2 linked regions of the Nothobranchius furzeri genome follow. The protein of the gene in region 1 purifies or fractionates together with the protein of each later gene. This does not show direct contact. Links are inferred from orthologs where the notes say so. Each region holds a gene or a part of one and is shown on either strand. Other genes may lie near its edges.

Evidence for each region. Proteins that work in one complex are often made in the same cells at the same time.
Region 2: the proteins of polr1f (region 1) and si:ch211-140b10.6 purify together in Homo sapiens (affinity purification with mass spectrometry; 3 studies listed by BioGRID and IntAct, counting the BioPlex papers as one, with this or other methods). This does not show direct contact. The link is inferred for Nothobranchius furzeri from reciprocal best matches to the Homo sapiens genes POLR1F and POLR1D.

The regions. Positions count from the first base shown.
Region 1 is NC_091751.1:28,040,071-28,046,596, forward strand, and holds the start of polr1f (DNA-directed RNA polymerase I subunit RPA43), read right to left. Parts: upstream 4,107-6,526; 5' UTR 4,062-4,106; coding exon 3,778-4,061; intron 3,505-3,777; coding exon 3,363-3,504; intron 3,292-3,362; coding exon 3,083-3,291; intron 1-3,082. UniProt on the Homo sapiens protein: Component of RNA polymerase I (Pol I), a DNA-dependent RNA polymerase which synthesizes ribosomal RNA precursors using the four ribonucleoside triphosphates as substrates.
Region 2 is NC_091747.1:51,105,176-51,111,534, forward strand, and holds si:ch211-140b10.6 (protein POLR1D), read left to right. Parts: upstream 1-2,334; 5' UTR 2,335-2,479; coding exon 2,480-2,505; intron 2,506-2,836; coding exon 2,837-2,911; intron 2,912-3,347; coding exon 3,348-3,699; 3' UTR 3,700-4,195; downstream 4,196-6,359. Other genes in the region: pdx1 (pancreas/duodenum homeobox protein 1), read left to right, coding at 5,325-5,691.

The DNA.
Region 1 (6,526 bases):
ACTGGGAATCAGGAGTTATTTTAGTGATCATCTTGTTTCTTATTTATTTTTGTCCTGATTGTGCCCTGAGCAATTTTATGACAGAATAAAAACAAATAAAATCAACATAAATTGAAAAATCGTCCTAAATAATCGAGATCTCAATTTCAGTCACCATAATCGTGATTATTATTTTTGCCATAATCGAGCAGCCCTTGTACAATTATAGTCTGAGAAATAATCGCAGTTTCACGATTACGATTATTTTACATAATTGCTTTCACATCTGTATTAACACGTATAACTCACACACACATTCTATAATGTATCGATAAAAGGCATGATTACATTCTATAAAGGTTTTGAATCCCTGAAAGATCTGTTGTTTCTTTTCAGAGATTTGTCTTAGAAAAATTCACTCTGATGTTTTACCTCCACAGATAAAAGAAGGAAAGAAAACAATCATTTATATAGCGCCTCACAAGATAAAAATGACATAAGCCTGGAGGAGTTCTGCTGCGTGGTGGATTTTCTAATAGGGTTGCAACTAACGACTATTTTAACAGTCGACTAGCCACAGACTACTGAAACGATTAGTCGACTAATCGGATAATTATTACACTTTTCTTAAATTTAGCACGAGACTCGCTGATCTTTGACCGCGGTGGACCAGCAAAGCCTGATATCCTCGGCTTACCTAGTTATAATTTCAATACAAAGCAGGTCGGAGGTGCCTTCATGTTTAAATTGCTCTACCTCGTTTTTCTTGCTAAAAACGCCCAGAAATCTCTGTTAGCTTTGGGTTAGCATGTAGCTAATGACCTGCTGATCTCTGACCGTGGAGAATGAGCTGATCTAAAAGGCCAGGGCTCCTGATCGCAGCGGTTTGGCTCTGCTTGTAGTTTAAAAGTCCCAGTCCATATTAGATCTCCAAAGCCGACCAGCACGACTACAGCCTCACACACAAGTCGGTCGGCTGTGAGAGTGGGCTACCCCACGGTCCCCGGAGCCCTTCTTAACTTCTTGGGTTAGCTAGTAGCCATATTGGTCACAATCCCTGTTGGGAACCTCCCATTTTTGGCTTCAACCTGCTCCCTGGTGGAGCAACAGGTGGGCTATGTTCATATTTTTATATGACGATGATTTCTGTCCATTTAAAATAACAAATAAAAACGTGAAGTTACATTTGGATGGCTGACTTCGTGTATCCTACCATTATTGATAATTTAATGTTCATGAATAATCTGTTTAATTGGTGAGGTCATTAGCAGACATATGAAGAAGTTTTACTTTTTAAAACTCCTAACCCCATTTCACATGTGGGACTATCGGATTCTGTTTCCTTAACAAGAGCAAGACAAAAAGACAAAAGCCTGGGAACTGATGTAACTTCAGTTTTCTGTTTTAAATGTAAATGAAAACAATAACGTGACTTTGACACTGAACCCAGGTGGAAACAGGAACTGATAACATATAAGAAACTAGGGCTGGGCGATATACCGATATTTTTAAAATATCGGTATAATTTTTAAACAAGATATAAGATGACTTTATACCTTTATAACTGGTCAAACTGCTATGCTAGTGACATGTTGCTCCGTCTCTAAGGGGTTATTACATGTATTCTCTCAAGTTTGCTCAATCTGAGAGCCTCTGGGTAAATGTGCTGGTCTAAACTTAGCATGTGGCGTTCTGGTTTTTAATTATTTGGGGACGTTCAACGCCAACGGAGTTCTGTTTTCCGTCCTGCTTGTGTGGAGAGACGAGTCAAACCCCTCCCTCCCCTGTGTAATGAGGAAACATCTACGGAAAGCCGGAGTGGGCAAATTACTTCAAACATATAGTAAGGGTTTGAATAGTAAACTATAGGGTTAACGTTTTATTTTGAAGGCGAGCTCAACGGGTGAGAAATGTTGCTCCGGGTTTTCCGCTGTGGTTTGTTATGCTAATAAATACTCCCGTTACGAGCAATTCTGTTGAAAAAGTTAAGAGTTTGTAAGGCGTGGGTTACGGCGACAGTAGCTCAAATATATTACTCATAAAAGAGCAACCAGAGACTCTGAGTCATTACAGTATAATCGCTGATATGAGTCAACACTGATAGATTCCAGCCATGTTTGCCCTGATAACTAATAACTCTATGGTGCATGACCCATGTGACCTTCAGTAGATGCAATTGCATCATCTACCTGAATCCTCTTGCAAAGGCTTACGTCTCGGCCTGGCCGCTCCGGTCATCACAGGATCGTCGGCTAGCAGTGCCTACACCACGCTCAGGACAATCCAGGCTCTTCTCATGCATCGTTCCACAAATGTGGAATGACCTTCCAAGCACTACCAGAACAGCGGCTTCTTTTTCAATTTTCAAGAAACTCCTGAAGACCCTGCTCTTCAGAGAGCATCTTCTTAACTAGCACCTTTCCTGCACCCGTCCCTCCCTCTAACGTCCACTCCTTTGTTCCCTCCTCTCCATGACTGATGTCAATGTTGTTGTTGTTATTGTTGTTGTTAGCCTCAAGGGCTACATGCCGATTATCACTTGTAAGTCGCTTTGGACAAAAGCGTCTGCTAAATACATAAACATCATCATAAATTTAGCCTAACATGATAGATTTTTGTTATGGACAAGAAATAAACGATATGGGCCACCTCTAGATGAAATCTAAATCATTTTACATTACTAATAAATATATAATAAAAAAGTCCCTGTGGGACATTTGATACACCTCTAGCTCTCAACTGTGTACGTGTGTGAGTGTGTGTGTGTGTGTGTGTGTGTGTGTGTGTGTGTGTGTGTGTGTGTGAGTGTGTGTGTTAGCAGACAGTTGTACCAGTGTTTCTAAAGCTCAGACTGGTTGAGAATAGGCACTAAGGTTAAAGTTGGACAAGAATCAATACATTTTTATGCATTTAATCTACTGATGTATGTTTATAATTTCTCAAGACAGCTTGAAGTGAGTTAACTTGGAAATACTTTACAGGAGGAAAAATATTGAGATATACATCGTATATCGGAATTCAGCTAAAAGATAGAGGAATAAGTTTGGGTCCATATCGCCCAGCCCTAAAACAAACCATCAACTCAGCATCAGCACCTACTCACCTGGTCCGGCCCAGCTGTCCCCTGATCAGCAGAACTCCTGCAGCATCAGCATCGAGCGCGGTCACCTTAAACTCCAGCTCTGTCCCGACTTTAGGACCAGCGTCCCTCCAGGTCTCTATGGACACCAGAGTTGGCCTGGGAATGCTGGCATTGAAACAACTGTGCACGAGGCAGCCAACATGGCTCACTCCCAGTTTATTCACTTTACCCTGTAGAAAACAAACCAACGACAGCAATTGGTGCTACTGAGATGACTTCTGATTAATTCTGTCCATCTTACCAGGAGTTTCTGTCCCCTTTTGGGCTGAAATACAATGAAGCTGGCTTCTATGTCCATGTGGATGTAGCCGCTGTCATTGTAGATGTCCCCATTTCTTCCCAAAATCCTAATGTTGTCATAGGCTAACAGCACTCCATTCAAACTGGAAGACACAAAACCAACAGCTTTAACTGGAACGGGAATACCAGCAGTTTTCCAAGCATACTATGACACAATCCTGACTCCATCTTTGACTTGAGCTCAAATAAACCTCCTGATGTTGAAGATATGTTACGCTGCTGATTCCAGTTGTTTAAAAAAAGATCAAATAGTTCATTTAAAACACAAAGAATACACCTTTAGCTGTCAGCTGACTGCCATAAAATGCAAGCACAGTGATTAAATCAGGCAATCCCGCCTGTGCTCGTCTTTCTACCTCTGGGAAAACTTCAGCAGCTCTCCGTCCAGCTCCTCCTGGATGCCAGTCTTCTTCTTGTTCAAGTACTGCGGCGCCAGAGCGACGTGTCTCCGGTGGGAGTTCAGCACCAGACACGAGTACGGCACCGGCAGGAGCTCCGACGCGGCCGCGAAGGAGGGGACCACGCAGCCCGCATCTCTGTCCGGAGCAGAGGACGGCTTCACCGGGGCGCCAGCAGCGCTCATATTGTTGGACAAGTCCACATGTTTTGGATCCTCCACAGCATGCTCGAAGTTCGCCATGCTGCCAGAGGACCGGAAGACAAACAACCGAGACTGTCGTGTTGAAGTTAGCGACTAAACCTTTATGCTGCCCCCTGCTGGCTCGGAGGTTCACTGGAGCAGCGCTCTTTGGGAGACCGTGAGCTAATAAGTACAAAAGATGTATTATATAGAAGATATTCAATTTTGTGATGATAAATGCAATAATAAGTTTCTAAGATCTTCATTAAGGAATCTTTTTGATCCAAACTTACTTAGACGTAATTACATATTAAAAGATTTCCAAAGGGAAGAAATTGAAAAAATAAGAAGTGATATCACCTTCCCTATCGCTCCTAAAGGGAAAGAAGTCCAATTTTAATTTTTGACCAAAATTTACCCAACCAATAGACTCCTTGGGGATAGATTCAATATAGAAGCTGGTAATTGTGTATTTTGTGAAACAGAAGAGGAGGACTTAGGCCATCTATTTTTTGTGCAATTTTATACAAATATTTTGGTTAGATTTTCATGCCTGGCTTTGTTCTAGTGGGATTCAAATTGCCCCATTTACCTTAAATATGATAATGTTTGGAGTGTTTTTGAAAGAAAAGAAAGTTAGTTATGGTGTTAATGTGTTATTAATTTTGTGTAAACAATTTATACATAAATGTCGATTTTTTAAGACCAAACCAACACTAGCCTATTGGAAAAACAACTTAAAAGTATTAGTTAAATCTTTGAATTTAGTTAAAAAGAAAAAGGCTGGTTTGTTATTTCCTTTGTAGAAGATTTTGAGTTAGTAAGTTAATAACCTGTTAATTATGTGACCCCATCTTTAGATTTTCCTTTTTTTCCATATACATGAAAATGTTGAATATGCATGTAATGATTATCTTTTGAATATATAATGTAAGGTGCATTTTGTTTGTATGTTATCTTCTCTAATAAATAAATAAATAAAGTACAAAAGATGTATTTACGCTGGTGCTCTCCACGTGTTAACAGTGCTATACTTACAGTGTTGCCATGTGTTGGATTCACAAGCTGATCTCTCTGTATTTCATCAATAATGTAAAAGAAAGTAAAACTAAAATAGTGACATTCCTGTTTTGAAACCCAGACTCAACAAAACATATTTTGTTTTTAACTAATCAGATGATGAGATATAAATCTGCTTTATGTGAATGATTGACATATTTTAAATGGATCAGTACATAACAGCTAAGTCAGTCCCTGTCCCTGAGCCCTGCCCAGAGCCTAAGCAGCAATGCCATTTTTTCATAGTGTTCAGCTATTTTGTCATAAATGAACAAATACTTCCAAAAACTACAGAATGTTCTGATTTCAGGTGAGGCATTGTAGCTGACCCACCTGTGAGAGAAAAACTGTAAGGCTTGTCTTCGGCACTCAGACATCAGTTCTGATTGTTTTTCAGCCGGACAGGACACGGCGAAGAACTGTCTCAGAGATCAACGTTTAATCTCCGGACTAAAGTTAAAAAACTATTTAGTCTAACTTTAATTAGAGTCCACAGCAGGTTTAGCACCTTTCAGTTTGGCAGGTTTACATGGTTCAGTGAGGAGTTTTAAATCAAAGTAACTCATCTTTATGTTTAGTTTGTTTAGAGGGTAACAGCATTATTAGAGCTAAATAATAACATAAGCATTATCACTGATCTGATGCACTAAACCCATGCACTCTCATTATATAAGCTTTAGATCATGCACAGATACATCTGGAAAGGGCATTGATTCTGCATCCTCTTCACATTAAAACCATTAGGGTGACCTGGGGTGTCAGCTAGTGTAACACACACACACACACACACACACACACACACACACACACACACACACACACACACACACACACACACACACACACACACACACACACAGTTCTAATGTTACTCTTTTCTGACAGCGCAGCACCACAGGAGGTGCCATGATCAGCTTTCCTCCCTGTATCCCTGATGGGGTCGACTGCAGATCCTGATGCTCTCAGGGGTGCTGTGGCCCCCCTCTCCTGTCCGTTGTCATGGTGATAACCAGTGAAGTGGTTTCCTGAACAGCAAGAGTGCCTAGCAGTTTCTGCTGTGATGGGAAACAGCTAACACACACACACACACACACACACACACACACACACACACACACACACACACACACACACACACACACACACACACACACACACACACACACACACACACACACACTTTCACATGCTGATGGTTGATGTGGACTGTCAGGAGGTGTTGGCAGGTGAAGGGTCTGTTCAAGAACACAATGACAGAGACAGAAAATCAGAGTTCAAACCAGAAACCCACCGGTTACAGGACAAGCCTCCACCTCCTGAGCCACTGTCACCCTGTGCATCTCCTCACCTTGTCTCCAAAGCTGAGGCTAACTACCGTTGAGAGGTAAATGTAGTGCTTTAAGCTTAATATATTACCTTTACTCATGACCAATAAGCTGTGATACTCTACGTAAATATAGAATATC
Region 2 (6,359 bases), on another chromosome or scaffold:
GATTTGATCTGCACAGATTGTCTCCTGACAAACCTGTCCCTACCGTCTCCTTGGCCACGGGACCAGTAGCCCCTTATTTCTGTCTCCTTTTCAAGCACATGCTCCTGTCTGTGTGTGACTGGCTGCTTCTGTCTCTATCCCGCAGCTGGACATGAATTAATCATGAGGACACAAGGCTTCTCTGTTTCTGTAACAAAGCTGTGACATCACCACATCACACACAGACGTGTAGACATGCAGGCGTAAACCTGCACGCGCATACGCAAACAAGCACACGAGCTTTATCCAGCAGGCCCTGAAAATAATCTTTGGGATTTTAGAACTCTCAAAGCACTTTGATCTTTTTCAGGACAATAGTCCTCTGCAGAAGTATGAATGCATGCATGCTTTGTATTGTATTAACGAATGACAGAATTTTGTCTACACACAAATGACAAACTAAGGTTTTAGCACGTGCAGAAATGCAATAACCAACAGAAATGGCATCATAATTTAGGCCACAGATTTTAAAACTCAAGTTTATCTTACGTTCGACCCGATCTCTTCATCCATGTTTTTAAATTTATTTAGAAGAGGCCTGCAAGGTGTGTTTCAATTGTCTGTTTTTCTCCAGGCAGACGTGCAGGGGTGACAACAAAAACAGACACTGATTTGATTAAATCTAGCATTTTCTCCTCCTCCCGGTGTCGTCGTCCCAGATTGCCTTGCATAAACTGCAGTGTCATATTCCGGTTAAGTCAACATCGTTATTAAAATCATCGCACCCCTCTTTCACCTCCCTCCCCAGCTGTCTGACTTCATCCCATCCTGCAGAAGCGGAGGCGCGAGAGGACAGGACAGAAGAGGCGACAGCATCAACCCCGCTCGCTGACACAGCTCATGCAGGAGATGGATGTCTCCAGATGTGATGGATGTTTTACCTTCTTCCGGCGGCTCCTCCGCGCCGTCCACTCGGGCCCCAAAGCGGGGAGCAATTATCAGCTGCGGGGCGTCGATCACGCATTCGCCGCAACCGACGGAGAGCTCCGCAAGCCCGCAAGAAAACGCCCCCGTACCGTTGGCGCCGCTGATCCCGCCCACCGCTGCCAATCAAAAGGTGATGGGAGGAGTCTACGGAGCTGAGTTTAGAGGTGGCTTACACCGACCGCCTGTTCAAAAACAGGATCAGAACAAAAATTAGAATAGAATAGAATAGAATAGAATAGAATAGAATAGAATAGAATAGAATAGAATAGAAAAAAACAGAACAAATATATACTTAATTATCTGCCTCAAAAGTATTCTTACAGTGCTGGGTGAAGTGTATTACCCACAAGTCATTGCTGCAGGAGAAAGGGTTCAAGTTCCTTTTCTGAATATTTTCTAATGGAATGAGTTAGTTTTGGGACAATCAGTTGATGCTCTGAATGTTTTAGACAAAGCAGCAATTAATTAAAATTTATTTCAAATAATGGGTTGTTTGTTTAAAAGTTGTTAATAAAGGCTTTTGAAAAAGTATCACAGGACCAGCATCTCGGCATGCGTTGCGTTTCATGACGCAATGCTCCCTGTCTCACTTCAGCAATTATTTGCACAGTTGTAGTCCACGCACTCGAAGCCTTACTGCACACTTTCTCCAAGTGCACTTTGCTGAAGACTGCAGGGCGCAATGCGAGTATTGGCACTGGGCCTGCTTGTGATGTCACAATTGGGGACAATTTCAAATAGCTTGTTTTAGGCACAACATTTCTACAACCACACATTGGCATGTTTGGAGCGTTTATAGAGGCAGAGTGCACATGGCGGCACAAAAAGGATGCAAAAGGCATAATATGTCTTCTTTAAGAAGATTACTTCTAAATAAAAATGTTTGTTATTGTCCTTTAATGTATCACAATCTAGATTACTAAAATATCTTGCTTGATGATATTCTGTAACTATCACTTTACTTTTGATTAAGCCATTGTATGTATTTAAATTATTTTTACAATTTACCAAAGAATTAAGTTGGCTTAGTTCCCAATGGAAAATGTTTAATCAAATAAAAAATGTACAAGTTTAAATGTCACATTTTACGTTTCGATTTGAGTATAAATCCTTTTTTTTAACAAAGTGTGTTTATATATTTGTTTGATTCTATGTTTGTTTTAAAGTTATTTGTGGCCAAATGTTGCTAAAACAATCAGCTGTAAATGTTTTTCCAGGGGTGCCCCATAACTTATTGAACTTTTAAAAATATCAATTATTTTAATTAAAAAAGATCAATACATAATACACAAACATATCTACTTGTAAATAAAAAATGTAGTTTGGTTTCATAACTTATTTTCAACATGATTTTGCAACTGAACAGGCATTGCTCCGGGCAGCTAAAAACAGGGTCCGCGATTGAAGGACCTCTCGGCGAAGTGAACAAGAAATGCCTCGTAAATTAACGTAAATTTATAGGTTTTATTAGGTTTTTATTTATTTGTAAGAGTTTTTGTGTGATTAAGACGCAATGGCGGAAGAAAATGAGCTAGAAAAGTGAGTAAATGTATCTTTATTAACTTCCGTCTGAACACATTTGCAGACATTTTCCCTCTAAAATGTAACGCTGCGGAAAAACAGTCTGTTAGTAGTTCTGATCTGAGTTGTTTACTGTATTTAAAGTTGACTTGTTGACTCTAGCTGCCTGTTGTGTGTAGTTTCAGGTCGGCATAAGTAGCGAGTCCAATCTGGTGATGAGACTCATTTCGGGTCAAACAAGGACACGTCCGCTTTACTTTCATCTTATATTTCTTGTACATCTGCTCAGAATTTCTGTCCTGTTTGTCTCATGACTCATTCTCCTGGTTCTGGGTCCGGTTCCGTCTAGGCGCGCCGTGGAGGAGCTCCTGAGGGAGACTGACAGAGCCCGGGTGAGAGCAGAGACCATGGGTCCTGCAGGATGGTGAGCTCTGAAATATCTCTGACCCTCTCATGTGGATTGGCTTTCTTTCTTTTCTTTTTTCTTTTTGGATAATTACTTAGTGTCTAGTATTATTTTAAATATTAGATTATTTTGCTCATGTTCTCATTAAACCATCTGAACACACCACGTGTCTTCCTAAAAATGTTAGTTTTGCACTAAAAGTTATCTTATCTGTTGGTATTTTAATTTGAGGTCTTATATCATATATATACATTAAAGGTTTTTTTGGGGCATTTCAATCGTATGTGTGAAAATTTCTTATTTAGCCTCTTTATTCTATAGTTAAAGGGATAAAACACCCACAAAAGTCATGTTGCTGAAGTCTGATTGAATCTGTGAAATTAAATTTCTTCTTTCGGCATCAACTGCTGGATTTTTCTGGATCTGTGTCTGATGTTTGTGGATTTTTCTCCAGGTTGAAGTGTCCTCTACAGAGCACCAACAAACGCTTCTTACTCAACACCCTGCGCTCCACGGGCCTGCACCGGCGCACAGAGGAACCCCAAGCCAAATGTTCCTCCACAAGAGGACGCCTTCGGAGCGAGTCCCCGGACAGACAGCGTGACCGCAGCAGAACGCCTCCGCCTGATCACAGGAATACTGGCGGCCCCTCGGATCATAAACGTCCTCACATGGACCGCCGCACAAGTCGAGATAAGAGGCCGGACAGAGATAAGGACAGACGCAGCAGACACCAAGACGACAGAGACCGGAAACATGCCGATGGACAGAAAAGAGACAAAAAAAGACGGATTCAGACTTCATGAATGGACCGGCTTTGTTTTTAGTCTCAGGAGCTCATAACCGACTGAGAGGTGCTGCTGTTTGCTTTGTGTTTAAAAGAGAAAAACTTTATTTAAAATATCATTTTACAGAGAAATAGAGTGAGTTTTGTCTCTTTGGACGTACTGGTAGATTATTTTCTTTTTTCCCAATAAAATGCAACAGAATGAGGTCAAACAGTCTCTCTCGTGACTCATGATGAGGTGTAACCGTGTTCGTCACAGGAGGGGGACCTAATCTCTATTATAACGCCATTACTATTCATCACGTGTCATGATGTTTACATAGGCCACGCTGCTGTCGCCACAGAGTAAGCATGTTTTATCATTTTTTGACATGCCGTCAAAAACTGGTTTGTTACTCAATGAAAAAGCTAAAAAACATTTCATTTATTTTGTTTCAGGAACAATCTGTTGATTTTGTGTGATTGTCCTCACTTTGAGATGGCAGATGGCCATTAAATCTTTCCATTTTTTCTGACTCCACTGTCTTTTATTATTTCTACAACTTTACAGGGACGAAAGTGTCTGATTCTGATTGCCTCCCTTCTTAACGGGCAACACGCCTCATAAATCACATATGGAACAGCCTGGGTTAACAATTTCCTTCCTCTTTACAACAATGATCAAATATAAAGGCCATTAGGCCATATTGCAGGGGGGTGTTTTGCATAGAAATGGCTCACCTGGACTTTATTGCACCGTTGAGTGCTGCCATTAAGATTCATTGGAAAGTGCTATAATTGCTTTTGAAGATCTGAGTGCAAATAGTCTATCGAAGCTGCGCAGACTATCAAAATAAAAGCCGGCTCGTCCCGCGTGACAAACATGCGTCTGAAAGTCGTGCGTAAAAGGCCGTGGAGACGCGCGCTCCAAACGCGCACGGCGGTTAATTGAGTTCAGTTGGTCTCTTCATGATAATTGACTAACCAAGAGGGCTATTGTTAAATGGGGCGAGGACACACAAAGATTAATGGCCAGCAAACACGAGGAGAGTGCAGCAGAGTTGTGTTTGTCGTCGCCAAGGTTTTTTTTATCGTCTGAGGCAGCGCGCGCAAAAATGGTGTTAAATGATGCATTTAGAAAAGTGTAATGGACAGATTTAAACGTCAGAAAGAGCTGGACTAAAATAAAAGGCTGTGGAAACTAAGGTGTGTTTCCAAGACAACGGGTGCCTTATCTCGCAGGTCAACCCAATGTTTGCACCCATAGTATCGATTTACAAGACTCATATTCGCATAAAATGTCGATTGCTTCCATGTCTGTGGACGAGAGTCCTGCGTGAAGAAAGTATCCAAATTTTTGTTGTTCCACTCGGAGTTGGTGTATGTGAACGTTTTGGCACCGATTTTACGCACTGCTCTGTTCAACTCAGGGGGAAAAGCTGCAGAATATCATGGAAACTGGGCGCTGTCATTCCGAGCAAACACTGGAGCCAATGAATTGGGCGCCTTGGGGTCACATGATGTCTGAGTGACACACCTGTGTGGAGCAGGGGCCTTGCAGTTGCGCCACAGGTGGAGCCGAAGGTCCACACCGAGGAAGGGCGGCAGGAACAGGGTGCATGTCCGCGTCTAACGCCCCCCTGTAACCTCCGCTCCTCTCCAGCCATGAATCGAGAAGATCAATTCTACCCCTCTCAGGTGTTTAAAGACTCCTGTGTCTACCAGAGACCACAGGGGGAGGACTACAGCCCTCCACCCTGCCTCTACATGAGCAGACCCGTGCACTCCGTCTACACACCGCCGGCCTTGGGAGCCCTGGAGCAGGCCAGCCTGGACATCGCCCCCACTTACAGTGTGCCCATGCGGGAGGATCCAGGTGTGCCACAGCTGCACCACCCGCAGGGGCTCCAGCTGTCCCCGCTCCAGAATCTGGGTTATGGAGACACGGGAGATCAGAACAGATACCAGCTTCCTTTTCCCTGGATGAAGACCACTAAATCCCATTCACACACCTGGAAGGGACAGTGGACAGGTAAGCCCTCTGTGCCTGAAGGACATTTAGATGTGGACACTAAATATTTATAACTTTAACGGACTCTCCTGGGCCTGCATGTGGTGGTACGAGCTCCCCACAAAAACCCAACAGGCTCAAACAAAAGCTTTTCATTAACATTAAAACACAAACTTCAAATGTTATTTTATAAAGCAAATTAAAATAAAACTCTATGGACTAAATGGAAAATGTTTCAGATTAAAAGGCTTTTTTATCCGGGATCTTTTGACTAATGACGAGTTAGAAAAGTGACAAAATTTTCAAATCAAATTCAGATGTGATTTCAATACTAAAATTATAAAAAGCTTTAATTGTCACATTTGAAAAAAATTAACACATTTGTAGCTTATAAATTGATTCAGTTACATGAAATTAATCTGGATTTTTTTATATTTATGTGCTGATTGTGACTTTCTAAAATGAACTAGTTTTTTAGTTTAAAATTGCACAAAAGAAAAAAAAATCATGAAATATTTAATTGCTGCTAAAAAGTTGTGTGTGTGTGTGTGTGTGTGTTTAGATAATTTCACTTGCCTTTAATGTTTCAATGAACAGAAAAAAACTGATTCGAGGTCTCTATTTACGTTAAAGGAAAAATAATAAATTAAAAGGTTTTATAAGGGCAAACCGTGACAAGAACTTAGTCA